Macaca fascicularis: one gene and its partners. The main gene of each other region encodes a partner of the protein of the gene in region 5 in a complex. Links are inferred from orthologs where the notes say so. Each region holds a gene or a part of one and is shown on either strand. Other genes may lie near its edges.

Region 1 (4,286 bases), on a different chromosome or scaffold from region 5:
AAGTGGAGATAAAGATAACCCATAGAGGCAAAGGGGACATCCTTCCATGCACATGGAACCCCCAAACTTCTCAAGCAAATAATATGCTGAAATGGCAAACAACAAACTGACTGAGATATAGAGGAAGATTTGGGAAAGGGACAGGAATAGGGTGTGGCAAGTGAAAAAAGTGGGTCATGCTACAGCTCAGGACAGAGTTCACAGCTCCTGCGCAGCTCCCAGTCAACATGAAAGGCAGCCCCAGCCCAAGGGGACAATGGGAGGCCAAGATGTGGAACCCACAATGTCTAGGCAGCACTACTGTTTCTCATGCGCCTCTCAGAAGGACGGGGTCCCCTTACCAGCACCACCACCCTGCCCTCACCTTGGGCAAGGGCATGGAAATCTGCCCCCCTACCCTACACAAGGATGAAACCAAGTTTCTCATCCCAACAGCCAAGACTCCATGACAACACTAACCCCTCTCCTAAATGGCCTCAGGTTGAAGTCAAGACTTCCAACTTAAAAAGTACCAAATGTGAAAGCATCTCTCCCAGACCACCTCAACTTCCGCTGAAGCTAAGAAGAGAGAAGGCAGAACTGAATGATGCTGGATGAGAAACAAAACCAGGATCAGCAGGCTCCAAAATGAGAAGAAAAGTAGAAGCAGAAAGAATGAAGAAATGACACATAGGAAAAAAAATGAACCTAGAAAACACGAAGGTCAAGGAAACAAGTAGATGACTTAGCTAGGGACTCTGAAAAAGGACACAGAAGAGAAAGACATCTGCTTAGGAACATGACATCAACCATCATTTGAGGATAGACAAGGGCTCCCCCAATCAGGCAATGTAGTTATAACCATACGGGTTTGGCCAGTTCATGGAGCCACCCCAAAACACAGATAGAGCAACCCCTAGCACACCTACACAGACGCTTCACACTGCTAGCCTAAACGCCAGGCTACCTCATAGAGGCAGAAGCCAGTAGGAAAAAAGCCAAAATTATGTCCACTCACCAAGAGAAGAGAGATGCCCTCCCTTCTTTTGCCCCTCTTCACTAGGCTATTACATCCTTCCCAAGCCCCCATCACTTCCCCACTCAAAACATTCCAGCAATCTGCCTGGCTAAAAGCACTCCAGATCCTGCTGAGGAGCGCGATTCAAACTTCACACAGCTGAGACAGCACAGAAAACCGGTAACTGATCAGAAGCTAAAAATAATCAGATAGAGTGTAACCAGCACTCCCTCTTTCTTTTCCACAGCGGCAACCACAGGATCCTACTAGCACAGATGCCGGGCTGGTCTTTCAAATAGAATCCTCAATGCCCCCCTCCGCCACCACCACAAGCCTCCAGGGGTCCCAGCTACCTGCATTCCTCCGAGGACCCACACACAAGGTAATGCCTGCCAGCCCAGAGAGCTCCCTCAACTGGGAACTGCAGAGCATTCCTCAAGACAGAGTGCAGCAAGCTGGCATCTCCGTCCGCGGTGCCCAAGAGGCACATGGCTTCCACCCCCCTCACACCAGAGCTCCGCAGAAGGGAACCACTCCCTTCGGATGCCCTCCACCTCCGGCTCTGCACAGAGACAGCCGAGCAACACAGTCCTGCCTCACCAGAGCAGTCACTCGGGAGAGCCCCAGATGCCTCCTTCCCGCCCTGGGCCCTTGGGGAAGATGTTACCTGGGTGGGGTGGGGGCAGGCTGTTGTTCAAAAGTGCATCCATATCCTCCTCCTCACTGCCCGCCGAGCAGGGGGACGGGGAGCCCAGGCCCGACGCCATCCCCTTCCGCTCCCGGCCAGGGAATTGGCCCAGCTGCTCCTGCCGGCGGCCTGGGGCCCTCTACACTGGCCCGAGTCACTGTGCGGGGGAGGGGGGAGAAACAGAGAACAGTCAGTGACGCGCACTGTCCCCCTCCCCCACACCCACCCGCTCTTTCCGCCCCCCACCCCAGCCACCCTAGCAGGGCACCCGAACCGCTCAGGCTGAACTTAGTTCCACACTCCTTGGGGGCAGCCCGGAAGCCGGCTCCCCGGCAGGCGCCCCCACGGAGCGAGGGAGCGACGCCTCCGAGGGCAGGCTGGTGCAAGCGCGGGGAGGGGAGACGCCGGGCTGGACCGAGCGGGGTGTGACGGGGGAGGGGGTCCGAGTGGCAGCGGCACGGGGGGGCCAGGGGAGGCGGCAGGCGGCGAAACGCTCTGGGACACAAGGTCACTTGGGGGTGGGGGGGCGCCTCCCTGCGCCCGGGGAGGGGCCAGTCCCCAGACAGGGCAGCTCTCCAAAGGCTGTCCTCTGGGACAACTCAGGTTCTCCTCAAGAGCTGCGGAGACGAGGGGGCGTGGAGGCTCGGGCGCTGCGGGGGGCCGGAGGCAGGGACGCGGGGGGCTAAAGCGTCCCACCGGGAAGGGGGCCGGGCCACGTGTCCCGGGGGGGCAAGTGATCAAAGGGCGAGGGGGTGGGCGCCGGGCATTGTGGGAGACCAAGCCGAAGGCGGGGGTCGCGGGGAGCAAGACTCCGGCAGGGTTAGGGCGGGTGCTAGGGAGGAGGCCGGGCGCCCTGCAGGCCAGGAAAGGAAGGGTCGGCTCCTCTGGGCAAGGGGCGGTCCGCGGGTCCGGAGACGCCTAAGGAAGGGGCGGCTGACGGGATGACCCTCGGGGCTGGTCGGGCCGTGAGGGGCGTCTCTTTGGGAACCCCGCGCTATCCTCACCCCGGAGCCGCCGCAGGTCGCGCTGGGTCCGGCTCAGTGTCACTCCCGCTCCAGCTCCTCCTCGCCGCGGCCGAAGGGGGGAAAATGGCTCCGGCTCCGGCGTCGCCTCTTAAAGGGCCTGAAACACCGGCCGGGAAATCCCACCGCACAGGCCCCGCCCCCCCACGGACAGCCCATAATAACCTCAACCAACTCCAACCCCCCCTTCCACTACCGCCACCCTCCTCCCCAGGTCTCCCGGGCAACCCCCGCCCCCTCGTCGCTCAGGCAACCACTGGCCACGCCCCCTTCGAGCGCGCGCGCGCGTGTCACCTGGGCAACCGCCCACCTCCTGGCCATCCCATAATACACACGGACACCCCCCCCCCCCAAAAAACACACACACACACACAACACACACACACACCCTGCCCCCCCACATTTCATACACATATGCCAGGGGCTGCTGACATCTCATAATATTGCAGACCTTTTGCAACTAACCCTCTTAGACATCCCATAATAGCCATCCTTTGCCAACTTCTTCACTCTTGGCCCTAATGCTAACATCCCATAATAATTCACCCCTCCCTCCCCATGGCCATCCCATAATAAGCACCCCTCCCAGCACTTATGCCTCATATCCCATAATACTCAGCCCCATCCCCCACAGACATCCCATAATAACCATCCTTCATCCACCCCCAGTTTGACATCCCATAATAGTCTGAAACTCACCCCCCCCATACTACAACAACGGACACTCGGCCTCCTCCCACACACATCCCATAATAATCAGTCTCCCACTTTCTATACTGACATCCCGTAATAACTAACCCCCTAGGGCTGCCCTCAGTCCCTGCAGGCTAGGGTCTAGAGGCTCACGTCACCCCCACCCTTCCCTCTTCTAGCTCCACAGCCTATATAGTAAGTACCCCTCCTCTATCAAAAAGATAACCCGTAATGATCAACAGCCCTACTGTCGCCCCACAGATGGACATCTAATCTCTTTTCCTCTGACACTGGAAAGCTATCCCATAATAATTTTACTCTCCTACCCACATCCTGACATCCCATAATAATTGCAAGGAGCCCGTGGTCAACCAAACATACCGTAATACTCCCAACACAACCCAGTGTCACATCCCATAATGCTTCATCTCCACTCCACCACCCCTATACCCTTTGAGCCAGGCATCCCATAATATTCATATTCTTCCCACCCCCATCTCCAGGCGCTGTCAGTCTATTCTAACACCCAAAGCAGGGAGGGCCAGGCAGGCTACCCACGCTTCCCTGTCCCCGCCCCCACTTGCACACACCTTAATCCCTTTCTGGGCCAAAGCAGTATCCTGGCAAAAAGCCTCCTCATGTCTGGGACCCCAGCTTCCCTCATACCATCATTTCCAGACACTTGGGGGCTAGAAGCCCACCTAGGGCCCCACCTAGTCCCACCAAAATCCAGGTATTTTCCAGATGCTTACCTCCAGCTCCTAAGTTTTGAGGAACACCAACCAACCAAAATACCAAGCTGACAGATGAAACATTTACATGAAGTCTAATTCACCCTACAACATCCCATAATAATTACCAACTCCCATCCAAAGACTATCTCTCA
Region 2 (3,191 bases), about 4.6 Mb from region 5:
AGCCTGCTACAAGGTGCTGGGGTAGTGACAGCAGCAACCGGCCAGCCCCTCCCCTTGACTGTGAGGCCAAGGGCTGGAAGCAGCAGTGCCCGTTCTCTCTGAGGAGTCAGAGACCTTCAGGGCTGATTCAGAGGCTGGGGTGTTGTCAGGGCATTAGGGCGTTTGAGGGAGTGGCTTACGTGAACTGGCATTTCCATGCTGCCAGGCATCACCGCCAATCCAGAGGAAGCGCCCTCCAGGCCCAGGCTGCCCATAGCGCCAAGGGCTGTGGAAGCAGCCAGGCCCTGTGCTGCCCCCTGGTGGCACCACAGGAAGGCCCAGGGCTCTCAGCGCCACGGCTGGGGCGGAGAGGGCCCGGTTCCCACCTGAGGCTGATGGCCCACAGAGGCAAGTCAAACCCTGTTTAGTCACACCCTCCCCACTCCTAGTCTCCTCTTCCCCTTTCTCTGCCTGGCCCACCCAGGCTTAGCTGAAGAACCAGACCCAGAAAGGCTCAGAGCTGAGAGCACAACTCCAAATCATCTTTTATTAATATAAAAAGGGCATATTTAGCAAAAGACACACAGATAAAAGAGTCACTATGGCTCAGGACACAAGGCAGTGAGGTGCCAGGCCTGAGCCCCTGCTGGGGGAGAAGGACGCTCGGGACAAAGTGGGAGAAGGGCTGGGAAGGGCTGAGCGGTGGGGACCACAGAAAGTTCCGGTGGGCAACACTGTTGGCAGGTCATGGGTGGGACTCATGGGGACCTCGCTGCTAACTCTTGTTGTGGGGGGATGTCCTTAGTGCTGCCACCTGGAGAGCCGCTCCTTGGTTCCTGGAGGGGACCCACCAAGGGACACAGGACAGGAAGCCCAGGATGGTTAGTGCAACTCGGGATGAAGGCCAGGGAGAAGCGGGTGCTCTGCAGTGGCCGGGAAAGGTCCAGACGCTGAGGCCGGGGCGCTTCCTGTTACGTGCGGGCGTTCCGCTCTGTCTCTGCCAGGCACTCTCTGACTAGGGCCCGAGCATGGATGATACCTGGTGGTGGGGTGGGGTCTCAGCAACGCTCCACAGCCCCACCCACTGCCCTCCAGAGGAGGACCCCTGCCTCCCCACTCCCTTTCCCCTTTCAGCAAGAGAAATTCCAAACTAATGACGGCTAGATGAGATTAGAGGTTTGGTTAATCCTCAAGGTTGCCCTGTAGAAGTACAAATTCCCAGGCTCTTCCCTGGAAATGGACGCAATTTCAATTCGATTCAAAACACCTCTCTGGGTAGTAATACTGGCCCTCCTCTAGGCTTGGCTCAGGTGGCCTCCGGATGTCTTTCTTTCCCTAATGGAAGATAGTCCAGTGTCGGTTTCCTAAGCAGGGCGGCCTGGCCTCACTTACCTCTCTTCAGGCGCTCCATGGCGCTCTTGCTGCCAGCATATGTGGGCCGGATCTCTTTGCCCATCTCCTCTATGACTGACAGCAGGTCCGTGTAGGTGCTCTGGGAGCCCTGGGCGCCGGGTGGCTTCATCGCCTATGTCAAAAGAGAACAGGGCAGTGAGCTCAGGCACCTGGCGGGGAGGGGGACTCCAGTCCCCATCCATAAGCAAGCCTTTGGCCCCACTCACCTGCACGTAGCCCATGGAAGGCGGTCCAAAGTCGTTAAACAGCGGTCTAAAAGGAGCGGCGGCTCCTGGCACTGAGCCCGACGGCGACGGGACGCTTCCTGCAGCAACAGGCGCGAGTAAGAGGTCAGCGCGGGGCAGGGACGCCGCCTCCCAGCTTTTCCAAGCCCAGGACCGGGTTCGCCCGATTCCCTCCAAAGGATGCTTCATTCCAGGCTGATCAACTTCAGGGACAAATCCCTCCCACTGCGCTCCACCTACAAGCCCTTACGTGACCACGCCCACTTCACAGGCCAGCAAACTGAGGCTCAGCGAGGGTAGGCGGCAAGCCCAGTATTGCAGAACTCAGGCCGTCTTCTCTTCGAGACCTCGACCGCCCGGCAGGCGAGCAGGGGTGGAGCTGGATCCTCACCTGTAGGGACCGGGGTGCCCGGCCCAGGGGTGCTGGAGCCAGGGGTGCTGCTGGGGGCAGGGGCGATGGGTTTGTAGGACATCCCCAACTCCTGGGCGCGGCGGACGCCAGCCGGCCGCTCCTCGGGGGTTGGCTGCCGGGCCGCTCAGCCGCGCTCTGATTGGCAAGCGGGCTGCACGCCCCTGGTAAATAGAGGTCTGGCCGGAAGGGCGAGCGGGCACGAATGCTCCCTCACTCCCGATTGGTGGGCGAAGATGTCACTCGAGCCTCCTTATTGGCCGAGACCTGCCCCAGCAGGTCGCAACCGCCGCCGATTGGCCTCCGCCTTCCGGACCTCGCACCTGTCTGCTCCGGATTGGGCGGTGGCCACCGCCCTCCGCAATTGGCGAGTTCGCGGCCCGGGCCGGCGCGCTTTCAATCCGATTAGTCCCCAGGCCCTAGAGGCGGGGCCTCGGGAACCCGGACCCGGGGCTGGGCCGCCGGTTCGCGCCGAGGGGGTCTTCCCGGGCGCGGGCGCCACCCTCGCGCCTCACTAGCGCTGCTTCAGACGTCTGCTCCGCTCTGCCCAGTTTCGGCCCAGCAGGGGTTGCTGTCGCCGCTGCCGTGGCCGCTGTCACCGCTGCCGTGCGCGCTTCTCTGCTCCGGGGGCCGAAGGACGCAGGGCTTTGACGTCCCGAGCCCCGCGCCCCACCCCGTGCGCTTTTACGTCACTTTTCACCGGTTCAACACCCTCTCCCCGATCTGCGCATGCGCCCGCCCGAGGCCTGCGTTTGTTCCCATGGCAACGGGCCCTTCATCTATGCCGCCGCGCACCGTTCTTCCTGAGGCTTGGCTTGTCCTCAGGTCCAAGGGCGACCTCAAGGACCCCTTTGCCCTCACCCCCAAGGCCCCGCGCCGCTGCCTCAGTTAGTGATAATGGCCGTAGGGCAAACAGGGATTACTTGTGTGCCGGGCACCGGACCAAATTGGTCAAGAGCACAGACTGGAGCCAACCGCCTGGGTTCGAATCTCAGTACCACCCCCACTAGCGATTTCCCCCAGGCAAGTTTCTCACCTCAGTATGCCTCAGTTTCCCCATCCGTAAAATGGGGAAAATGACAATCTCATTGGGTTGTGTGGATTAAATGAATAGTCATAAAGAGCTTCCTGTCCCACTCCGGGGCCCCCATACCTTTCCACTCCAC
Region 3 (4,052 bases), on a different chromosome or scaffold from region 5:
AGCTGGGACTACAGGCATGTGCCACCACACCTGGCTAATTTTTTTATTTTTTTGAGATCGAGTCTCACCCTGTTGCCCAGGCTAGAGTGCGGTGGCGCAATCTTGGCTCACTGCAACCTCTGCCTCCCAGGTTCAAGTGATTCTCCTGCCTCAGCCTCCTGAGTAGCTGGGATTACAGGTGCGTGCCACTACGCCCAGGTAATTTTTGTATTTTTAGTAGAGACGGGGTTTCACCACGTTGGCCAGGCTGGTCTTGAACTCCTGGCCTCGAGTGATCTCCTGCCTCGGCCTCCCAAAGTACTGGGATTACAGGCGTGAGCCACTGCACCTGGACCCCATGACTTTAATTTCTTTCTCTTTTTTTTTTTTTTGAGACGGAGTCTCCCTCTGTCGCCCAGGATAGAGTGCAGTGGCATGATCTCCACTCACTGCAAGCTCCACCTCCCGCATCCACACCATTCTCCTGCCTCAGCCTCCCAAGTAGCTGGGATTATAGGCGCCCGCCACCACGCTCGGCTAATTTTTTTGTATTTTTAGTAGAGACGGGGTTTCACAAGTTAGCCAGGATGGTCTCGATCTCCTGACTTCGTGATCTGCCCTCCTCAGCCTCCCAAAGTGCTGGGAGTACAGGTGTGAGCCACCGTGCCCAGCCCATGACTTTAATTTCTAAGGTATAAACCTGATGATGTCACTAACCTGCATAAAACTTGAATCATTCACAAGTGCCCTCAATAAAGTCCAACTTCCTTGGGACAGCATGCCCAGCCCTTCATGGTCTGGTCCCTGTTTACATTTTTTTTTTTTTAAGACATAGCCTCACTCCGTTGTCCAAGCTGGAGTGCAGTGGTATGATCTTGGCTCACTGCAACCTCCACCTCCCGGGTTCTAAGGGATTCTCCTGCCTCAGGCTCCAGAGTAGCTGGGATTACAGGTGCGCGACACCATGCCCGGCTAATTTTGTATTTTTAGTAGAGACGGGGTTTCGCCATGTTGGCCAGGCTGGTCTCGAACTCCTGACCTCAGATGATCCACCAGCCTTGGCCTCCCAAAGTGCTGGGATTACAGGTGTGAGCCACCTCACCTGGTCGGTCTCCATTTACTTCAGCAACCACATTATTTGCAACACTTCCCTCGCCCCGGGTCCCCACCTTCTACAATAGGCCCCCAAATCTATGTCTCAGCCATACTGTTACAAATGCCTTTGGCCGGGCGCGGTGGCTCACGCCTGTAATCCCAGCACTTTGGGAGGCCGAGGCGGGCGGATCACAAGGTCAGGAGATCGAGACCACGGTGAAACCCCGTCTCTACTAAAAATACAAAAAATTAGCCGGGCGCGGTTGTGGGCGCCTGTAGTCCCAGCTACTCGGGAGGCTGAGGCAGGAGAATGGCGTGAACCCGGGAGGCGGAGCTTGCAGTGAGCCGAGATCGCGCCACTGCACTCCAGCCTGGGCGACAGAGCGAGACTCCGTCTCAAAAAAAAAAAAAAAAAAAAAAAAAAAAAAAAAAAAAAACAAATGCCTGCTTTTCTTTCTTCCCTTTTTTTTTTTTTTTTGAGACAGAGTCTTGCTCTGTCACCCAGGCTGGAATCCAGTGGCCTGATCTCATCTCACTGCAACCTCCACCTCCCAAGTTCAAGGGATTCTCCTGCCTCAGCCTCCCAAGTAGCTGGAATTACAGGCGCGCGCCACCACGCCCAGCTACTTTTTATATTTTTGTAGAGACAGGGTTTTGCCATGTTGGCCAGGCTGGTCTCGAACTCCTGACCTCAAGTGATCCGCCTGCCCTGGCCTCCCAAAGCGCTCGGATTACAGGCGTGAGCCACCGCGCCCGGTCAAATGCCTGTTTTTCAAAGGTGCTGTCCTCTCTCTTGCCTCTGAAACTTGCTGTTATCTTTGCCTTCCCTTTGCCTGGCTAAGAACTCCTGTTCTTCAGGTCCTGAGACGTCCCCTCCTTCGCTGACTCCTCAGGTGGAGTTCGGTGCCTATTCTCTGTGCTCCTCTAACACTCTGAGCTCTGACACGGAGAGAACTTCGGTCACTGGGACCCGATCATTCCCACCGCCCCAGCCCCTCAACACTTCCTCGAACACAGTAACCTGCTTGAGAGATTAAGTGAGAAGCCTGTTTTAACAGGTTGCATCCTTCTCCTTGCAACCCCTGGCGCCCCACGTCGCAGTAGCAACCGCAGGCCCCGCTCAGAGGCTGGGGGAGGGGAGGCGGGCGACCAGTCGTGCAGGGCTCTTCTCCCAGAAAAGATGAGGAAGAGACGGGGCAGGGAAGAGCTTTGGGTTCTCGGCAAGAAAATGTATCCTTGCAGCCGTCTCCATCAGATTCAGCCTCCCTCCTCGGACGCACCCTCCCCTCTAGGAGTCCCACTCAAACTCTCCACATCAAACTCTCCACATCAGACTTCCTCAGAATCTTCCCACCAAGATTACCTCAGGGTTCCCCCACGCGATCCCCTCGATCTCAGCCTCGATCTCCTTTCCTCACAGCCTCCTCCCTCAGCCTCGACTTCCCCCTCGCAGCCTCCTCTCCGAGCCTCTCCCCAGCGCCTCAGCCTCCCGCAGCCTCCCATCGGCGCTCCAGCCTCAGCCTCCAGGTCCCCGGTTCGGCCCGGCCCGGCCCCGCCCCCGCCGCGAGGACAGTGCTCACCGTCGTAGTAGTAACAGACTTTCCTCCGGGTGCCCTGCGTCTGCGCCATCTTGCTCGCCTCCCGTCCCTACCGTCAGTCGGTCCGTCCGCCCTCCCGCCCGCGGCTCAGCTCAGCGTCCGACCCAGGGGGGAGGGGGCGGGTCTCCGGCCCGCCCCGCCCGTCTCCTCCTGAGCTCACCTATAGCCGCGCAGCCCGGGCACCGCTCCAGCCAATCAGCTTGCGCAGACACGGGCCCGGAACTCGGCAGGGGGCAAGGGCAGCCCGGAGAGGCCGCCGAGGGCCCCCTGGGCCTGTACCAAGGTCTGCGACAGATGGGTGGGGAGCCGCCCGGGGACCGTACCATCAGTCCCGGGGGAGGAAAGCAGCTCCGTAAACTTAACAGTCCCACTTGGTCGTGAAAAGCGTGCTTGGAGATCGGAGGCCAACTTTCTGATTTTACGGAGAATAAACCGAGGCCTACAGGGGAAAAGTGACTTGCACAAGGTCACTCAGCCAATAAAAGGGCTGAACCTGGGTTAGAAAGCGAGTTTGTGATCGCAAAGGAGGGCTACAGAAAAATAATTAAATTAAAAAGAAAAGCAACACGCTGGTTTTGAGAGGAAGAAACTGACAAGAAAGGGAAAGAAAGCTGTTTGTCGAGGGGCTGCTGTGTGCCAAGTACTGTGCGACAGTTTACCAATGTTATTTCAGTTTTTCCTCAAAACACCTCTCGGCCAAGGGCTTTTTACCTCCATTTTACAGGACAGGATAAAGAAGTTCAGATTTCTGTGAATTACTCAAAGTTACACAAAGTAATTAAATTCAATTTTTCAACTGTACAGGGTTTTTTGAATGCCTTCTTTGCACCAGAGGCACTGTAACAAAGTGACAGAACCCAGCCTTTCTGACTCCAAAACCTACCTCCCTGAAGCAGTCACCCAGGATGACTTAAGTAGGAGTCTCTTTAGACAGGAAGAAATGGGATTATCCTATGATAGGAGAGCAGATTTTCCTTTCCTTTCCTTTCCTTTCCTTTCCTTTTTCCTTTCCTTTTTCCTTCCCTTCTCTTCCCCTCCCTTCCCCTCCCCTCCTCTCCCCTCCCCTCCCTTCCCTTCCCTTCCCTGAGGACAGTTCCGCTTTAGTTGCCCTGGCTGGAGTACAATGGTGTGATCTGTGCTGTGTGATCTCGGCTCACCGCAATCTCTGCGTCTGGGTTCAAGCGGTTCTCCTGCCTCAGCCTCCCGAGTAGCTGGCCTTACAGGCATGCGCCACCACGCCCGGCTAACTTTGTATTTTTAGTAGAGACGAGGTTTCTCCATGTTGGTCAAGGTGGTCTCCGACTCCTGAGCTCAGGATCCGCCCGCCTCGGCCTCCCAATGTTACAGGCATGAGCCATGGTGCCTGGCCTAGAAGAGCAG
Region 4 (3,500 bases), on a different chromosome or scaffold from region 5:
AGCTACTTGTGAGGCTGAGGCACGAGAATCACTTAAACCTGGGAGGCGTTGGTTGCAGTGAGCCGATATTGTGCCACTGCACTCCAGCCTGGGCGACAGAGCGAGACTCCATTTCAGGAAAAAAAAAAAAGAAAAGTGTAGGGCGTTCTGGAATGTTGGCAGTCCAGGTGCAGGGCTGAGATGCAGGCCCTGAGGAAGGGCTGGGAGGGTGCAGCCGGGTAGGGACTGAAACCAGACTCTGGGCACAGGGCTCTGTGCAACGGGGTGGCAGATCAGCTTGCACTTCAGAGTGGGGAAGCTGGACTGGACCCGGGATGATGCCACGGAGCAGGCGGCTGATGTGTGCAAGGGCAGTGGCCAGTCCATGTAGTTGTACTGCCCTCAACACTGCCTCCGTCCCTTCCCTCACTGCTATGCCTAGTCCTGAGCCCACGGGTGGGGCGACAGGGCCCCTGCGGGGACGGCTGAGCATGTGGCTGGAGAGCGGAGCACACGCTGGAGTGTGGGGTCACAGCAGGGAGGGCAGGGCTGCGGCTGGAGGGGGCGCTGAGGCTGGAGTGCGGGGTCATAGCAGGGAGGGCGGGGCTGCGGCTGGAGGAGGGGGCTGAGGCTGGAGGGCGGGGTCACAGCTTGGGGGGCTGGCTGTGGCAGGAGGGTGGGGTCACAGTGGAAGGCGTGGGCACAGTGGAGGGCGGGGCTGCGGAAGGAGGGCAGGCTGGGACCTTACCACGCCGTCCTCCTCGCGCACCACGTACTGCGCCACCTTGAAGGAGCTCAGGTACTCGTTCATGTTCTGTAGCTCCGTGTCGTCTGTAGCGTCCTGGTTCCGGTCCAGCAGCTTGGAGATGGCTGCATCGTCATAGTGGATCACACTGCTGTCCTCCACGTCCTTGTTGTCACCTGGGGAGCAGGCAAGTGCAGTGTGGGGACAAAGACTGCCCTGATCCAGCCCCGGGGACCCGGGAACAGACTCCGAACAATGGCCCTTCCCATCCCCACCAGGGGCTGCAGCTGAGAGGCGTGGTGACCAGACAGAGGAAACCGCGCTGTCACAGCTCCGCTCCCCGTCCACCCGGCAGTCCCAGGACACTCAAATGAGGGTGGGTCGAGGAACCCCTCCTCTGCAGGAACAGCCACCTGGCCGCAGGAGGAGCTGAGACTAGGCTGGGTTGACCCCTACCTGGTGGGGTGCTACCATGCTTCTTCTTTGCACTGGCAGCCAAGTTCCCCCCTTTGGAGGACTGGACATCAGGGATGGGTGTGACCGGCCTCTGGCCCTGAGACATCATGCCTGTCAGACAGAGGAGGAGAGCACTGGTGCAGGAGCACAGACGGCTGCAGGGTTGACGGGCAGACACCACCCTGGGCTGTCCTGGCCAGCAGACACAGGTTGGGGGTGCAGGAGAGAGGCTGTGTGTTGGAGCGGGCAGGGACCCCAGCAAGCCCTGGATGGGTGTCTCAGTGGGACCACCCCAGGCCCCGCCATGCTCCCTCGGAACAGAGGCCCACCCTCCACGTCGTCTTTGAAGAGCTCCTCTGTGCCGAACTTGAGAATGTCATCCAGCTCCTGCTTGGTCATGGACCCCGACTTGGAGCCGAGACCAGGTCGCACCACCAGGTGGGTGAGCATCATCTTGCGCTTGGCCACCTGCGTAATGCGCTCCTCCACTGAGGCCCGAGTCACGAAGCGGTAGATCATCACCTTCTTGTTCTGGCCGATGCGGTGGGCGCGGCTGAAGGCCTGGGGAGACCTGCACCTCAGCACCCGTGGCTCACCCAGGGCTCCAGGCAATGGAAGGGTTCACACCAATGAGCTCAAGAGCATGGAATGGGGTGCATGACTGTGTAGGCAAAGGCATGTGGTGCGTGCACCCCTGCAGCTGGGCTCCCTCCCTGACTGCGGAGCCTCCCACGAGCCTGGGTGCCAGGCTGGGTTTGGAGTGGAAAAACTCCCAGCCAGTGGAAGCAGGCAGGACTGCAGGTGTGCAAGAGTGTGGGAGGGATGACACGGCCAGTGTGCTGAGTGTAACTGAAGCTACACAGAGCTTCATGGGGGCCATGGGGAGGTAGGAGGAGGCTGCATTTCCCTGTGAGCGAACCACTAATGGGACCACAAGACCATGTGCTGGAGGCGCGCAGCCACCTTCTGAGGGCAGCAAGGAGCTGAATCTGCCCAATATCATACAAGGAAGTGCCTCTGTGCGGCCCTGCATGAGGTGACCTGGGTGTGGCCGTGTGTATCTGTGTGCATGGGCGCACACACTCGTGAATGAGAGACATCAATTTGTATGTGTTCCCCTACATTTGTAAGCGTTCGATGTGTGTGTCCCAGTGCCCGAGAGGGGTGGCCAGGGACACGAGGGTGGCTCTATTCCCATAGCCCCTCCCCCCGCAGCCCTTCCATCCTTCCTTATCAGCCCCATCTGCCCCCTGCACTATCTCATCCTCCCCTACTCACCTCCCACAGGCCCCACTCTCTGCTCCCCGCCCCCTCCAAAATGGGTGCCCCTCTGGGTCCCAGGGCTCCCTCTTCCTGCCTCCCTCCTTGGTCCTGAGCATGGGAAAGACCAGATCAGAGGCCCCGACGAACTGCTGTGTGCCCCGGGACACTTCCCCTGCCTTCTCCCTGCCCTCTCCAAGCCTGCTTCCTCCTCTGGACAAGGACGGAGCTGGAGGGATGAGCTTCCACTCACTCCCAGGGCCCGTCTTGGGGCCGAGACTCCATAGGGGACGGAGGCCCACAGCAGCAGGGTAGGTGAGGGGGCCATGGCCAGGAGGGCATGAAGGACAGAACCTGCCTGAGGCCCGGGATGAGAGGCCCCCTGGGAGGGTGACGGGTGGCAGCGGCACAGACCTGGATGTCATTGTGCGGGTTCCAGTCCGAGTCGTAGATGATGACAGTGTCGGCTGTGGCCAGGTTGATGCCCAGGCCGCCTGCCCGGGTTGAAAGGAGGAAGCAGAATTGCTGGGCCCCGGGGGCTGAAAAAGAGAGGCCAGCAGATGGGGGTGTTTGTGGGGGTGTACCTTGGGCGGGGAGACGGGCGTGGCAGAAAGGAGGTGGGGAGAACAGAGGGAAGGAACTGCAGCAACAGGTCCCTGGCAGAGAAGGACAAAGCCGGAGACTCCATCAGAGACAGGTGGCCACAGCTGCACTCAGGGGAGCCAGAGGGGAGGCCTGCCCAAGCCCACTTAGCCCCCAGCGTGCTCTGAGCCCTGGCCCAGTGGGAGGTCACTGGAACGAGGAGGTCAATTTTCAAAGCCCAGATGAGCAAAAAACAAAGTGCAAGCCGCCAGCAAAGTACAAGCAGAGCCCAGAGAGCTCAGTCCTCCATGTCCCCCGAGCTTCCCACCCCTGGCTTCCCTTAGCCCACCGATGCTGCCAGGGCAGCCCGGGAAAACTCAGGGGCACAGCTCCGGGGCCTGGGGTCCCACCCCACTGGGCAACCCTGTCACAGGATGGCAGGTTCTCAGCCTCTCGGGGCCCTGCAGTGACCTGGGAC
Region 5 (4,075 bases):
AGCCCTAACTATCCCTCATTCTCTACTTGGCTAATAATAGTTCCTAGGGTTTTCAAGGACAACACCTCTCAAGCTAGTGCCAACATCTTCCTCCTGAAAGAGCTGCAGCTTGCCCTGAAACCTAGTGGAAGGGGTTAATCTGGCTAGGCGCCAACCAAAGTGGGAGGGGGCAGAAAAGCCTCAGGCCCAGGCTCATTGGTGCATTGTTCCCAACCTCAGGGAGAAGGGGGGGTTGTGCAGTAGGCTCCACCCCTCGCTTGTGTGCTCCGGAAACCCTGTGCTAAGGCAAGGGGGACCACACCCCCAACACCCCTTCTGATTGGACAAGGCCAAGGTCAGCCCCTGCCAGATGGGGCTGGAAACCCTAAAGGGCCAGGGAACTTGGTTAGCCAGGATCCTCTTTAACCCCTTCTCACCCAGAGCAGTCTGAAAAAGGAAAATGATTTAGAAAGGTGGAACAAAAGGAAGGAAAAAGAAAACCAAAGCAGGAAAGGAAAAAGAAGCTAAGAAAATATTTTTTTTTTTAAAAAAGAAAATGAGACCTTAAAGAGGATGAAAATAGAGCAAAATGAAAAGGGAAAGATGTAAAATGGGGGGTGGCAGGTGGGGAAATGGGCAAGGTGAGAAATTAAAAAGTGCAAGAAAACTTCCAGCCATCTTCTAACTTCCAGGTATTCTCACCACCTTGTGATTACAAAATAAGGCTGCTTCTGTTATGCGGGCTTCTCAGTACAATCTCTTCCTCTTCACCTTGACCTTCAGTCACCACCTACTGTCCCAGTGTACCCCAAACTGCCCCCCTTTAGAAAAGCATTCTGTTTCTCTAAACCCCGTCTTCATCCCCTAAATAAACCGTATCGTCTCTCTCCTACTCTCATACACAAACCATATCATGGCTTTCCTTATCACAATCTCTCCACCCTGCTTCCAACCCCAACGTGTAAAAACAGGTCTCCCTCCTCAGGCCAGGCATTTCCCACCCTCAAACTCACACCTCTGCCTTGGGCATGCTACCAGGGGAAATACCTGCAGGGACATGCGCAGGCCTCAGATCATGGGGAGGGGGAAAAGAAAGGGATGAAGATACTCACTGGCATTACTATCAGCCAAGCTGTTGAGGCTACTAGAAATGTCCCTGCGCCGGAAAAGACAGACGACCTTTGCCTCCACATTTCCATTTGCAGTCTAAGGGGAGGAAAAAAACAAAAACAGAAACAAAACAACGTAGCAGTGAAAATTGATCATCTGGGAACAGAAATACACAAAGAGACAAATAACAGTAAGTTTCGGAGGGACCTAAATTAAAAAGCCCAAGAAAATATGAGTAAATACTTACATTCAAGGACAGACTTCCAAATCCCTTTCCTTTGCCCCCAAGAGACAGAATAGTAAAGTTCCTGCTAAGCTCTCAATAGCCTTTCCTGAATACATCCAATTAATGAATGAATGAATATGAATGGGTACTTAGTATAGGGTCCTCTCTTCCACCTGAAGTTAGAAACCTCAGAAGAGACCACTGGGGGAGGGAGGGAGAGGGATTCTGCTCCACTCACCTTGTTGAGTTCCTCAATCCGTCTAACCAGGTAAGGATTGCTGGAGGAGTTCTCAAAATAGACGTAATCTGTAAGGGAAGGGAGGGGCGAGAACCACGAAGATCAGAGGAGATGGGAGAGACGCAGAGCACCACAGTAGGAGAGAAAGTTGGCCTGAGTGGATCAAAAGAAGATAAGGATTCAGGCAGAGAGCGCGCTGAGATGTGAAAGTGTAAAGACTAAGAGAAAATAAGGATGTCCCCCACCCCCACCGCACCTAGTTCTAAAATCAGATCCATTACTCAAAAGTGAGCCTTAAGGAACAGGCAAGAAGCAGGGGTTCCCCTGCAGTCCCCACAACTCAGCAACGAGTTGCACCTCAGTCGCGGCGAAGTAATTGTTCGCTCTAGCGCAGGGCCCCCACCTTTTCGAACTGAGGCGCACAATAACGCCTGGGAAGAGGAAACCTCCGGGCGGCTCCTCCGCGGTGGCAAAGCCGTCGCCCCAGCCCCTCGCGTTCCCTCCCCACCCTGTCAGCTCCTTCGGAACCGGTTTCCGAAGCCCACTCCGTGCCCCGAGGAGCCCCCGACGCAGCCCTGAAAGTGCCGTCGGGGCTGCCCGCAGCTTCTCTCCAGGAGTCTCGGCGCCCTGCCGCGTCGCGGTTTCCCGCACCCTAGCTCCTCGTCTCCCGGTTCCGGTTCCGGTCCGCGCTCCGGTCCATGCCGCCCCATACGCTGCGCCTCGCGCCACCCGGTGCCGAGCCCCTCCGGTCCCGACCCCAACCTCTCCCGCCCCGGACCCTGTACCCCTGCGCCCGGTACTCACCTCCCACCCGGTACATGTTGGCCGCCATGGCCGTTCCCGCCGCCGCCTCCGGCCGCACAAAGGGGTCCGGGAGGCTCGCGGGGGCAGGGCTCGGCTAGAGGCAAAGCCCTGAACGGTGGGCTGGCGCTTCGAGGGAGTCTCACTGGGGCCCGCGCAGCCGTCACCTCCGCTGCCTCAGCCGTCGCGGTTCATCCCGGCCCGCGCTATCGCCGCCGCAGCTATCGCCTCACTCCCGGGACGCTGAGGCTGGCCCCGGTCCGCTCGGCTTCTTCCGGAACGAGCTCGGCTCCTGCCAGGCGAGAGCCAGGCTGCAGCTGCCCCCACCCCCGCCGAGTCCCACTAGTCGTTGGGCTCTGCCGGCCGCAGGGAAGGCTTGCCCGGCCCGCCTCAGGGTTCGCCTCCTTCCGGAACACCTTCGGCCGATCCGGAGAACAAGGCCCACTGCTCGGCTCAGGTCGGAGAGCGAGACCCCGCAGATCGGCTACTTCCGGAAGAAGTTCGGCTCCTGTCGGCCAATCGCTCGGCTATTTCCGTTGCAGCTCGGCACCCCCCCACCCCTTTTTCCGAGGGCGGGAGAGGAGTGGGGCTTAACTCTGTCCTAGCTGGAGCCCTGCAGCTCCTCCTCCCGCCCCGAAGACTCGCGCGCCTTAGCGCTTCGCCAGGTTATTTGCAAGCGGCTTTGCCTGTTATTTGCATAAATGGTCTACGCTCCCTTGCCCTTTCCGCACGCCTCTTTTCCTTCGTCCCCACCCCACAGGGCCCCGGAGGCACCCAGCAGCGCCCCACAAAAGCACCGGGAGGCGACTTTGGTTCTGGTTTATTGCCCCTCAGCAGGCAGCGGGAGTCAAGGCCTAGGTTGGGGCTGCCCGGCTCAACCAGCGGGTCTAAACAGTGTGTGCAGGGGCGCCGTTCGCGCCCTCCAGGGAAATGCACCGTCGGGAATGTTTCGAAGTCAGTCGAGGAAAGAGTCGGCCCCTGGTCGTGGGGGATTAGGGCGGGGCAGAGCGGGGCGGGGCCACGCCGCCAGGCCAGTAGGTCCCGCCGGCAGCGATCAAACGTCGAGGGAGGAGGCGGGGGACAGGGAGGGGGTTCGAGAGGGCGTGGCAGGCGCCGGCCCCGCGCCCCCAGCGCCCAGCACTCGCCACTGGAAGATGCTGGCGTCCTTGCCGCCCAGCGAGACGAGGTGCGAGTCGTCGTGCGTGAACCGGACGCTGGTCACGTGGCTGCCGTGGCCCCCGTACATGCGGCTCGGCGCCTGGGCGGGAGGGAAGAGTTGCAGTGGCGGCGGAGCCCTCGGGCCCACCCGTCCCACCCCGGCGGCCCCCGCGGCCTCACCTTGGCACGAGCGCACGGGTACTGGAATAGATGCACTTTGCAGAAGTCGTCGGCCACCGCCACCACGCGCTCGTTGTGGGAGCGGCACAGGGAGTTGATGTCGGTCCCATCGGAGCCGTCCGGCCACACGCCTAGCACAGTGGCCGGCCTCAGCCCGACCTCCTACCCACCGCCACCCACGGCCCAGAGCTACACCGTTTCAGGCGCTCCGGCAGCCGCAGCCACCCACTGTCGCGTTCCAGGAAAGCCTTCCCGGTCCCGAGGGCCGGAGGGGCCTCCTGGGCTGGATCTTCAGGTTTCTGGACTCTCACCCAATGACACACGCCCAGCGTTCCGAGCCCAAACTGGGCTCCACCTTGTCCCCCACCCCTCCAGCAGGGTTC
Region 6 (3,500 bases), on a different chromosome or scaffold from region 5:
TAATAATTACTATAAATACTCTTCCCAAAGAAACAGCAAATAAGATATCTTTCGAGCTGTAATTATTATCTTTCATCTAGAGTGTATTGTAAGTCTAAAGAAATGATGTCATTAGCCGTTGAAACAAGATTTCATATTGTAGTAATAAACAGACAAAAGACAATCCAAGTACAATTTTTTAATAAAGATAATTACAAAAGATGGAAAAATCAGCTCAGAAAGGCCAATTACTTCTTTAATAGATCAGTTTTTTTGACATAATAACTCACATCAATTTTAAATACTATCACATAAAGCATGGTGGAGAAAAGAAATTTTGCTTCATAATTAGAAAAACTCACAATAAAACTTGCCAAGAAAAACAAAAACGAAAAAGCCATTTGAAAATAAATACAGTCCATGCCAAAGTAGTATAAAATGAAGCCAGAAGTCTTCAAAAAGAAAACATTTTCCTTTCAATATTTTCTTTTTAATGATTTTCTGAAATTGGTGAGACTGTCAAATTCAGGGGTTGCTGAGCTGTTCTGATTTGGTTCTGTTAAAAGAGGCAATGTGAAATATTAACAATGGCACAATCTCGATTTCAATGCACTGACCTACTCTATTGATCAGGTCCTGTAGGCTCATGCTAACAAACACATTAATTGATAATGTCTTAAGTGTTTCTGGATAATTAATGCCTTAATCTTTCTAGTGATTTTATAATCATTCCAAGTTATCCTGTAAAGGCTGGCACAAAATTATGTATGCTCAAACTTTTACATGCTTTCTGACAATAAAATCCTCAACTGTTTTTACTTAAAATTGTTTCTTAAACGTACCTATCTCACAACACTAAAAAAATCATGTACACAGAAATAACACCATGAAAACCATTAAGTGCACATATAAAAGACAATAGCAAAAAAGGATCTCAGATAAATGATGTATAAAAATACAAACTGACTTAGTTTATATTGATAAACCAATAGGTAAGATGGCATATGTTGTCTTATGTACCAATACAAACTAAAATTCAGAGCACCTCATAATGATGTTCTAAGGTTCAGTCTAGTATTTCTGAAGTGTGTACACACACACACCAATAAACATGTTTAGCATTTTTATAGTATGTAAAAAGTACTCAATAAGGAACATCATTTACCCTTTGGTATCTGTTTTTTCACCACTGTTGTCCTTGGATTTATCTTCTTCCTTAACGTCTAAAAATAAAGATTGGGAAAAGATTAAAACCTATTTTGAAATATAAAATGTATATATATTATTTCAAAATATACTTTATTTTTAAAATATAAAAAAGTATCATGCAATCTTATTATTAATGAATTAGGGTCTAAATAAGCTTTGTGTTGGGTGTTTCCTAAACGATGGCAGTACAAGCTATGAACAGTCACTGGATTGGGGTGGGGAGGAAGAGAACAGGTGGCCCTAACTCTAGGTTTTGACCTATAGATTTAAAAAGTGTATTTCATTTTTCTGTAGGCTGAAGAAGTTTAACAACTGCAAGGCCCTATCAGAAGAGCCCCATCACCAAATAGAGGGTTTATTTTTTAAGCACAGAAAAGATAAAGCTTTTAAAAATGACAACACCAAAAAATAGACAAGACGACGACATAGTGAAAATGAAAGAAAAGAAAAAAAGTTAGAAAAATCCTACAGCTAAAGTCAAGTCCTTACCTCAGTCATGGCTTGAATTTTTGGATGTCAATCAGTATACAAATATAGACTGAAGCCATCATTATAATACACTGCGAAGTTAAAATTATAAAATGGTAGATAGAGAACTGTATGTAGCCTATTGAGGAGTGAATTCACAAGGAAAAGAATAGAACTAGATGTGTCAGATGTTACAAATTACGAACTCTCTAGTTAAAAAAAAAAAAAGCCAGCTTATTCACATAACTTCAATTTGATAGATACAGGAAAAATTGGATCAGTACCTCTAAATCAGTTTTTCACATGCTACAGGATAAAAATTAACAGGTTAACTAAAACGTGTGCTCATCACCATTACCTGCATTAGGAAATGCATCAAGCGCTGAGAATACAAGTATTTAAGATATTGTGTTCCCTAGCCATGAGCAGCTCAATCTAGCAGGGAGACAAAATCCTGTGAGGTGCTATAATATGTGTTAAATAAAATGGCAGAGGCATGTGTAAGTGTTCTGGGAAGTCAGATGAAAGGTAACAGATTCAGGTAGCAAATTCAATTGCCTAAAGCTAACACAGCGTTTTAAGGTAAGGCAATGTATCAACGTATTAACTCCTTCCTAACCCACATCCCAAATCCCCTCCTAGCTTTCCTCAGAGCTTTTAATGTTTTCTTCAATTTCTGAACAAAATCTATTATTTGACCTTTTTCAAAATGGCAAAACTAGTCTAAGGGTATGTAACTCTTCTTTGTGTTTTCTCCCATTAAATAAGCTTTAGGTAGTTAAAAATTACCTTAGAAGTTCAGTTCTGACCATGCATTACAAATAGATTCATAATTACTTTGTCCTCTTTCTTACCCAATCTCTATCACAGTACAATGTTTACTATTTTAAACCCACGTTATCAAGAAGATAAAGTTTCCTATATTATTAAAGCAAACAGGAACAATAACATTTATATAAAAGCTTTAAGAGCTAAGCACCACTTACATGTAAGAAAAAAGAGAGTCATCTACCTAGCATACTTCCTCCTTTGATACTTGTGAAACTGACTTTAGGATCTCATAAACATTACAATGTAGCTCAATTTTTAAAATTTACAATTAAAATAACTACCAAGAAACAAATCTGACCTGCTTTTTTGTCCTCTGTTTCTTTCTTATCTTCTTCAATTCTAGCTTTCTTTGCTCCTTTCTTATGATCAGCCACATTTCTTCGACCTCCTTCTCCTTCATCCTCAGAATCTGAGAATTCTTCATCACAAGCTATCCGCTTGTCTGATGCTCGAACTGCACAAAAGATTTTAATAAATTTTGACAAAAAGAGTCATAGGTTTTATAATCATTATAGCATACTCATACAAACGCACCAGCAGTTACCACATTTAAAGGTAAAGGATAACAGATGCCTAATGATTTTAAAATTTGAATGGAATGAATGGTTTACTTAATATTGAAAACTTTGCTTTCAAGTATGAAGAAATGGCTCAAAAACACATAATAAAAATTGGGGGAATTTCTTTTTCTTTTAAAAATGCTGAAACTCTGAAGGAAAAAAGTGTGTTTTTCTAATGGGGATAGGAATAATATCATTACTTAAAAAGTAGCATTTTATTTCAGAGCTGAGAGGTGAAGTAGACCAAAAAAAGTACCAATACCAAATATGTTAGACAGTCTATACCACTACATGTACCATTATGCTACAATCTAACCATCATATTAAGTGTAATGAGAAGTTGCAAAATCAAACAGATGTTTAGTTATTTGGTTCACCCTACTTCAAATAAATGAGATGTCTTATTAATTGCCAAATATACTGAAGTGGCTAGCTTTTGATAACTTTCAATCA
Region 7 (3,500 bases), on a different chromosome or scaffold from region 5:
TTGGCTGTTCCCAGTTCCCTAGAATCAGAAAGAAATTGGTTCAGCAAAATTAGCTGGGCATGTTGGTGGGCACCTGTAGTCCCAGTTACTCAGGAGGCTGAGGCAGGAGAACTGCTTGGACCGGACCCATGAGGCAGAGGTTGTAGTGAGCCAAGATCGCTCCACTGCACTCCAGCCTGGGCGACAGAGCAAGACTCCATCTCAACATCTCAAAAAAAAAAAAAAAAGGGGTTCAGCAGCCTGACCCCAAGGCCACAGGCAGGTGGGTGGAGAGGCCCCTGGGCCGGTCAGAGGAGGGAACGCAGTCCAGCCTTAGACTCCTGGGGTAGCCACCTCAGCTGGGCCAAGGCACGTCCCATTCTAGGGGACAACTACAGGTTAGGGGGATGGTCCTCACCCTTCTATCCTCACACACTCAGGAAGACCACCCAGTCGCCTCCAGGAAGCAAGTGTATCATCTCCAATGAACAAAACAGGGGAACCAGCTCATCTTGGCACAAAAGAGTCCAAACAGCATTTCCCAGGATGCAGATGAGTAGGAGGGCACATCGCAGGTGCCGAGCCTCCAAGCCAGTGGGGAGACAGAGGCCACACCTGGGCCACCAGGACCACAGCCATCGGCCATGGCCCCGCCAGAGCCTGGAATGCATTCCCTTCTCTCATCCTCCCACCCACAGGGCCCACCCCCCAGAAACCCTTTCCTCCCACCACCACTGGGAGCCCCACAGCAAGCACCCGGATCAGCGAGGCTGGGCTCCCGGCAAGCCCGCAAGCCCAGACCACCTCCCCTTGGCTGCCTCCTCCCAGAGCTGCACCAGCTCCCTGGGCAAGGTCCTCGCCTCCTCCCTCCTCCACCGCCGCCTCTGTCCCCTGGCCTTGCGCTCTGTCCTCCTGTCCTCATCTTGGTCCAGCTGCTCTGCCTCCCCACGGCACTGCCTCCAGGCCTCACGGGCCTCCTGCCTGTCTCGGCGCCGCCGTCGCATGGCCAGAATGTGGCACTGCCACTCCCGGCTGCGCCTCTGCCTGGCCTCCCGCAGCCACCGCTTCTTCAGCTGGTCCCGCTCACGGGCCCGCACCTGCTTCTCCTTCTGGGGCAGGACGGCTTGGCGGGGCATGGCTGGGAAGCCGCCCACTCGGCAAGGAACAGGCTCCGTGGCGACCTCAGAACACTGGCACTGGGGCCCAGCCAGGGAGAGCATCTTCCCGCTGGGACCTTCGACAGGGCAGCTCATCCCTTGGAGATGTGGGGTGCAGCTGACATGGTGGCTACCCCATTCCTGCTGTTCCCCAGCCTGGGCTGGGGGTACTAGGATCACCCTTGGGCTGATGAGGAGCCCAGGTCTTGGGCAGTTACCAAGTGGGGGTCACAGTCTGGAAAGTGGTGGAACCAGGCAGCGGCCTCGCCTGGGCCACACTCTCAAACACTGGCCCTCCACAAGAGGCACCTTGGCTCTCGAGACAAGGCCACCTCCTCTCTGCTGGGCCCACGCCCGTGGAGAGCAAGTGGGAACCGGCCGTTTTCTGTCCCAGCTTGGAGAGCCAGGGTCAAGGCCAGGCCTCACTTGCCCAGGAAAGAGAAGTGAGGAGACCCACCAGAGGAGCGCGTGGGGTGGGGGCCGCAGCGCAGCTCGGGCTGCTGCCCCTTCCTGGTGCTCTCCTGTCCGCTCCACCTCACACGTCCCTGCGAAACACAGTCCCCAGTGCCCTCCATTCTGATGTGTTCTGAGCCGGAGCCCAGTCAGGGCCTTGGGCTGAGAAAGCTCTGTCCCATACTTTCTGCTCCTTCGTCTCTTCCACCAGCTTCTCTCCTCTGATGGTGGGGAGCATGTCTCCCCCCAGCCCTCCCACCATGCCATCACCCCCATTGCCATACCTGGGTGTAGCCTAGGGATGGTGGCCCGTAGTCACTGAGCAGCTGGCGGTACTGTGAAGACGCCATGCTGGTGGAAGGAGAGTGGACACTCCCAGCTGTGGGGTGGGGAGAGAGAGGCCAGGAGTCAGCTCAGCCAGTTGTACCAAGGCAAGGACTCCAGGTCCTGCAATGGCCCTTGCCCAGGACCCACACCACCAACTGTAGCAGGATAGAGAACCCTGCTCTCCACCTCTAGTCTGACCAGTGTAGAAGACGGATAATGAAATGTAGCTACAAGGCACTCGGCCATCCCCAGCTCTGTAGCAGCTGCTGGTCCTCACAGAGCTCCGTCCTGTCCAACCAGAACCTTCCAAGCAGCAGGGCTGCTCCCAAAGATAAAATTACTGCCACTCCTGGCCTCATCCCTGCCCATCCCCTCTCCCTGTGTCCTGGCCCCAGAGGCTGAGAACCTAGAGGCCACATCATACCACAAGAGCCCACTGCCATGGAGGCTGGTCCAAACCAGCGGAGCTTCCAAGCCTTTTTGTCCTATGCACCGAAATCTCTGCTGTGCTCAATGACGGGGAAGATGGGAAGGCCTTAGAGTATTTGAGACCCAACCCTGGCTGGAGACAGGCATGCTGGACATCAAATTAGGAATCTAGAGAACACCACGGCCTCTGTGTGCCCCAGATAAAGCCCCTCAACCTCTCTGTGCCTGTCTCCCCCTCCCCAAAGAGGGGACCAGACTCTTGGCAGTCTATGTCCCAACGGCTCTGCATTCCAAGAGAGGAGGGTTGAGGCCCCACATATGGGATGCAACATTGGGGCCTGTCCAGGGCTGCAGTCAGTGACCAAGCAGGGCCCAGCCCAGAACGCAGCCTCCTGGATCTGGGAGGGGAGTCTGAGGCTGGGAGCACGCGGCCCCGCAATGGCGTCCCAGTGGCCATTAGCGGGTAAAGGATATCCTGCAGAATGACAAACAGCGGTAACCATGGAGAATTTACCTAGTCCTCCTCGGCAGCTGCCCGCCTGCCGCCCCCAGAGCCACACGGTCTCTCTCTCACACACACAGCGGGCGCTGCAGACTTGGCCTCGGGGATGGACAGCTGGTGCCAGGCTGGCCAAACCCACCAGCTGCTCACTTGGTGTGGGTGAGGGGAGGGGCAGAGGAGGAAGGAAGTTCAGGGCCTCAGGCTGGGGGAGCCGGGAGGAGCCCTGGAGAACCCTGGCTCCAGGCCCCTCTATTTAGAGACATGGACCTGAGGGAGTTGCCCCAGGGCACACAGCATAGCACCTGCCCCTCCATGCAGGGAGCCAGCTACCTCAGCACCTGCCCCTCTGTCCAGGAGCATCCGGGAGCGGGGACAGTCCCGAGTTGTCTCCCTGAGTCTCAGGCCAGCCCTGGATGCCACCACTGCAGCCCAGGGTTATGCTCCAGCTTGGGCTGGACCTGGAAACGTGGACTTGGATCCTGAACTGGGCAGAGCACCATGCCACTCCGAGCCTCAGTTTCCATGCCTCCCACATGGGGATGACGAGACACGTGTGCTACAGGGATGGGCGGCTTGGGATGGGGAAGCACTACGCCCGCGATATCCGGCACGTCCACGGCCACTGCAGGAATTGGGCAGGGCGATGTCCCCCA

The links.
Region 1: MTA2 (region 5) and CHD4 share a complex: the UniProt entries of both Homo sapiens proteins name them as parts of the nucleosome remodeling and deacetylase (NuRD) repressor complex. The link is inferred for Macaca fascicularis from reciprocal best matches to the Homo sapiens genes MTA2 and CHD4.
Region 2: MTA2 (region 5) and CDK2AP2 share a complex: the UniProt entries of both Homo sapiens proteins name them as parts of the nucleosome remodeling and deacetylase (NuRD) repressor complex. The link is inferred for Macaca fascicularis from reciprocal best matches to the Homo sapiens genes MTA2 and CDK2AP2.
Region 3: MTA2 (region 5) and HDAC1 share a complex: the UniProt entries of both Homo sapiens proteins name them as parts of the nucleosome remodeling and deacetylase (NuRD) repressor complex. The link is inferred for Macaca fascicularis from reciprocal best matches to the Homo sapiens genes MTA2 and HDAC1.
Region 4: MTA2 (region 5) and CHD5 share a complex: the UniProt entries of both Homo sapiens proteins name them as parts of the nucleosome remodeling and deacetylase (NuRD) repressor complex. The link is inferred for Macaca fascicularis from reciprocal best matches to the Homo sapiens genes MTA2 and CHD5.
Region 6: MTA2 (region 5) and HDAC2 share a complex: the UniProt entries of both Homo sapiens proteins name them as parts of the nucleosome remodeling and deacetylase (NuRD) repressor complex. The link is inferred for Macaca fascicularis from reciprocal best matches to the Homo sapiens genes MTA2 and HDAC2.
Region 7: MTA2 (region 5) and CDK2AP1 share a complex: the UniProt entries of both Homo sapiens proteins name them as parts of the nucleosome remodeling and deacetylase (NuRD) repressor complex. The link is inferred for Macaca fascicularis from reciprocal best matches to the Homo sapiens genes MTA2 and CDK2AP1.

What each region holds. Positions count from the first base shown.
Region 1 is NC_088385.1:7,528,353-7,532,638, forward strand, and holds the start of CHD4 (chromodomain-helicase-DNA-binding protein 4), read right to left. Parts: upstream 2,801-4,286; 5' UTR 2,690-2,800; intron 2,076-2,689; exon of another isoform or gene 1,960-2,075; intron 1,843-1,959; 5' UTR 1,765-1,842; coding exon 1,665-1,764; intron 1-1,664. UniProt on the Homo sapiens protein: ATP-dependent chromatin-remodeling factor that binds and distorts nucleosomal DNA. Acts as a component of the histone deacetylase NuRD complex which participates in the remodeling of chromatin.
Region 2 is NC_088388.1:6,866,745-6,869,935, reverse strand, and holds CDK2AP2 (cyclin-dependent kinase 2-associated protein 2), read right to left. Parts: upstream 1,830-3,191; 5' UTR 1,806-1,829; coding exon 1,599-1,805; intron 1,505-1,598; coding exon 1,372-1,504; intron 1,019-1,371; coding exon 951-1,018; 3' UTR 501-950; downstream 1-500. UniProt on the Homo sapiens protein: Acts as a component of the histone deacetylase NuRD complex which participates in the remodeling of chromatin.
Region 3 is NC_088375.1:202,730,427-202,734,478, forward strand, and holds the start of HDAC1 (histone deacetylase 1), read right to left. Parts: upstream 2,801-4,052; 5' UTR 2,704-2,800; coding exon 2,655-2,703; intron 2,632-2,654; exon of another isoform or gene 2,438-2,631; intron 1-2,437. UniProt on the Homo sapiens protein: Histone deacetylase that catalyzes the deacetylation of lysine residues on the N-terminal part of the core histones (H2A, H2B, H3 and H4).
Region 4 is NC_088375.1:228,756,403-228,759,902, reverse strand, and holds part of CHD5 (chromodomain-helicase-DNA-binding protein 5), read right to left. Parts: intron 2,980-3,500; coding exon 2,855-2,979; intron 1,742-2,854; coding exon 1,510-1,741; intron 1,292-1,509; coding exon 1,181-1,291; intron 901-1,180; coding exon 728-900; intron 1-727. UniProt on the Homo sapiens protein: ATP-dependent chromatin-remodeling factor that binds DNA through histones and regulates gene transcription. May specifically recognize and bind trimethylated 'Lys-27' (H3K27me3) and non-methylated 'Lys-4' of histone H3.
Region 5 is NC_088388.1:11,457,067-11,461,141, reverse strand, and holds the start of MTA2 (metastasis-associated protein MTA2), read right to left. Parts: upstream 2,801-4,075; 5' UTR 2,386-2,800; coding exon 2,358-2,385; intron 1,622-2,357; coding exon 1,554-1,621; intron 1,186-1,553; coding exon 1,092-1,185; intron 1-1,091. Other genes in the region: EML3 (echinoderm microtubule-associated protein-like 3), read right to left, coding at 3,409-3,612, 3,693-3,823. UniProt on the Homo sapiens protein: May function as a transcriptional coregulator. Acts as a component of the histone deacetylase NuRD complex which participates in the remodeling of chromatin.
Region 6 is NC_088378.1:17,981,119-17,984,618, forward strand, and holds the end of HDAC2 (histone deacetylase 2), read right to left. Parts: intron 2,942-3,500; coding exon 2,786-2,941; intron 1,203-2,785; coding exon 1,145-1,202; intron 536-1,144; coding exon 505-535; 3' UTR 164-504; downstream 1-163. UniProt on the Homo sapiens protein: Histone deacetylase that catalyzes the deacetylation of lysine residues on the N-terminal part of the core histones (H2A, H2B, H3 and H4).
Region 7 is NC_088385.1:130,396,411-130,399,910, forward strand, and holds part of CDK2AP1 (cyclin-dependent kinase 2-associated protein 1), read right to left. Parts: intron 2,918-3,500; exon of another isoform or gene 2,860-2,917; intron 1,969-2,859; coding exon 1,874-1,968; intron 19-1,873; coding exon 1-18. UniProt on the Homo sapiens protein: Inhibitor of cyclin-dependent kinase CDK2. Also acts as a component of the histone deacetylase NuRD complex which participates in the remodeling of chromatin.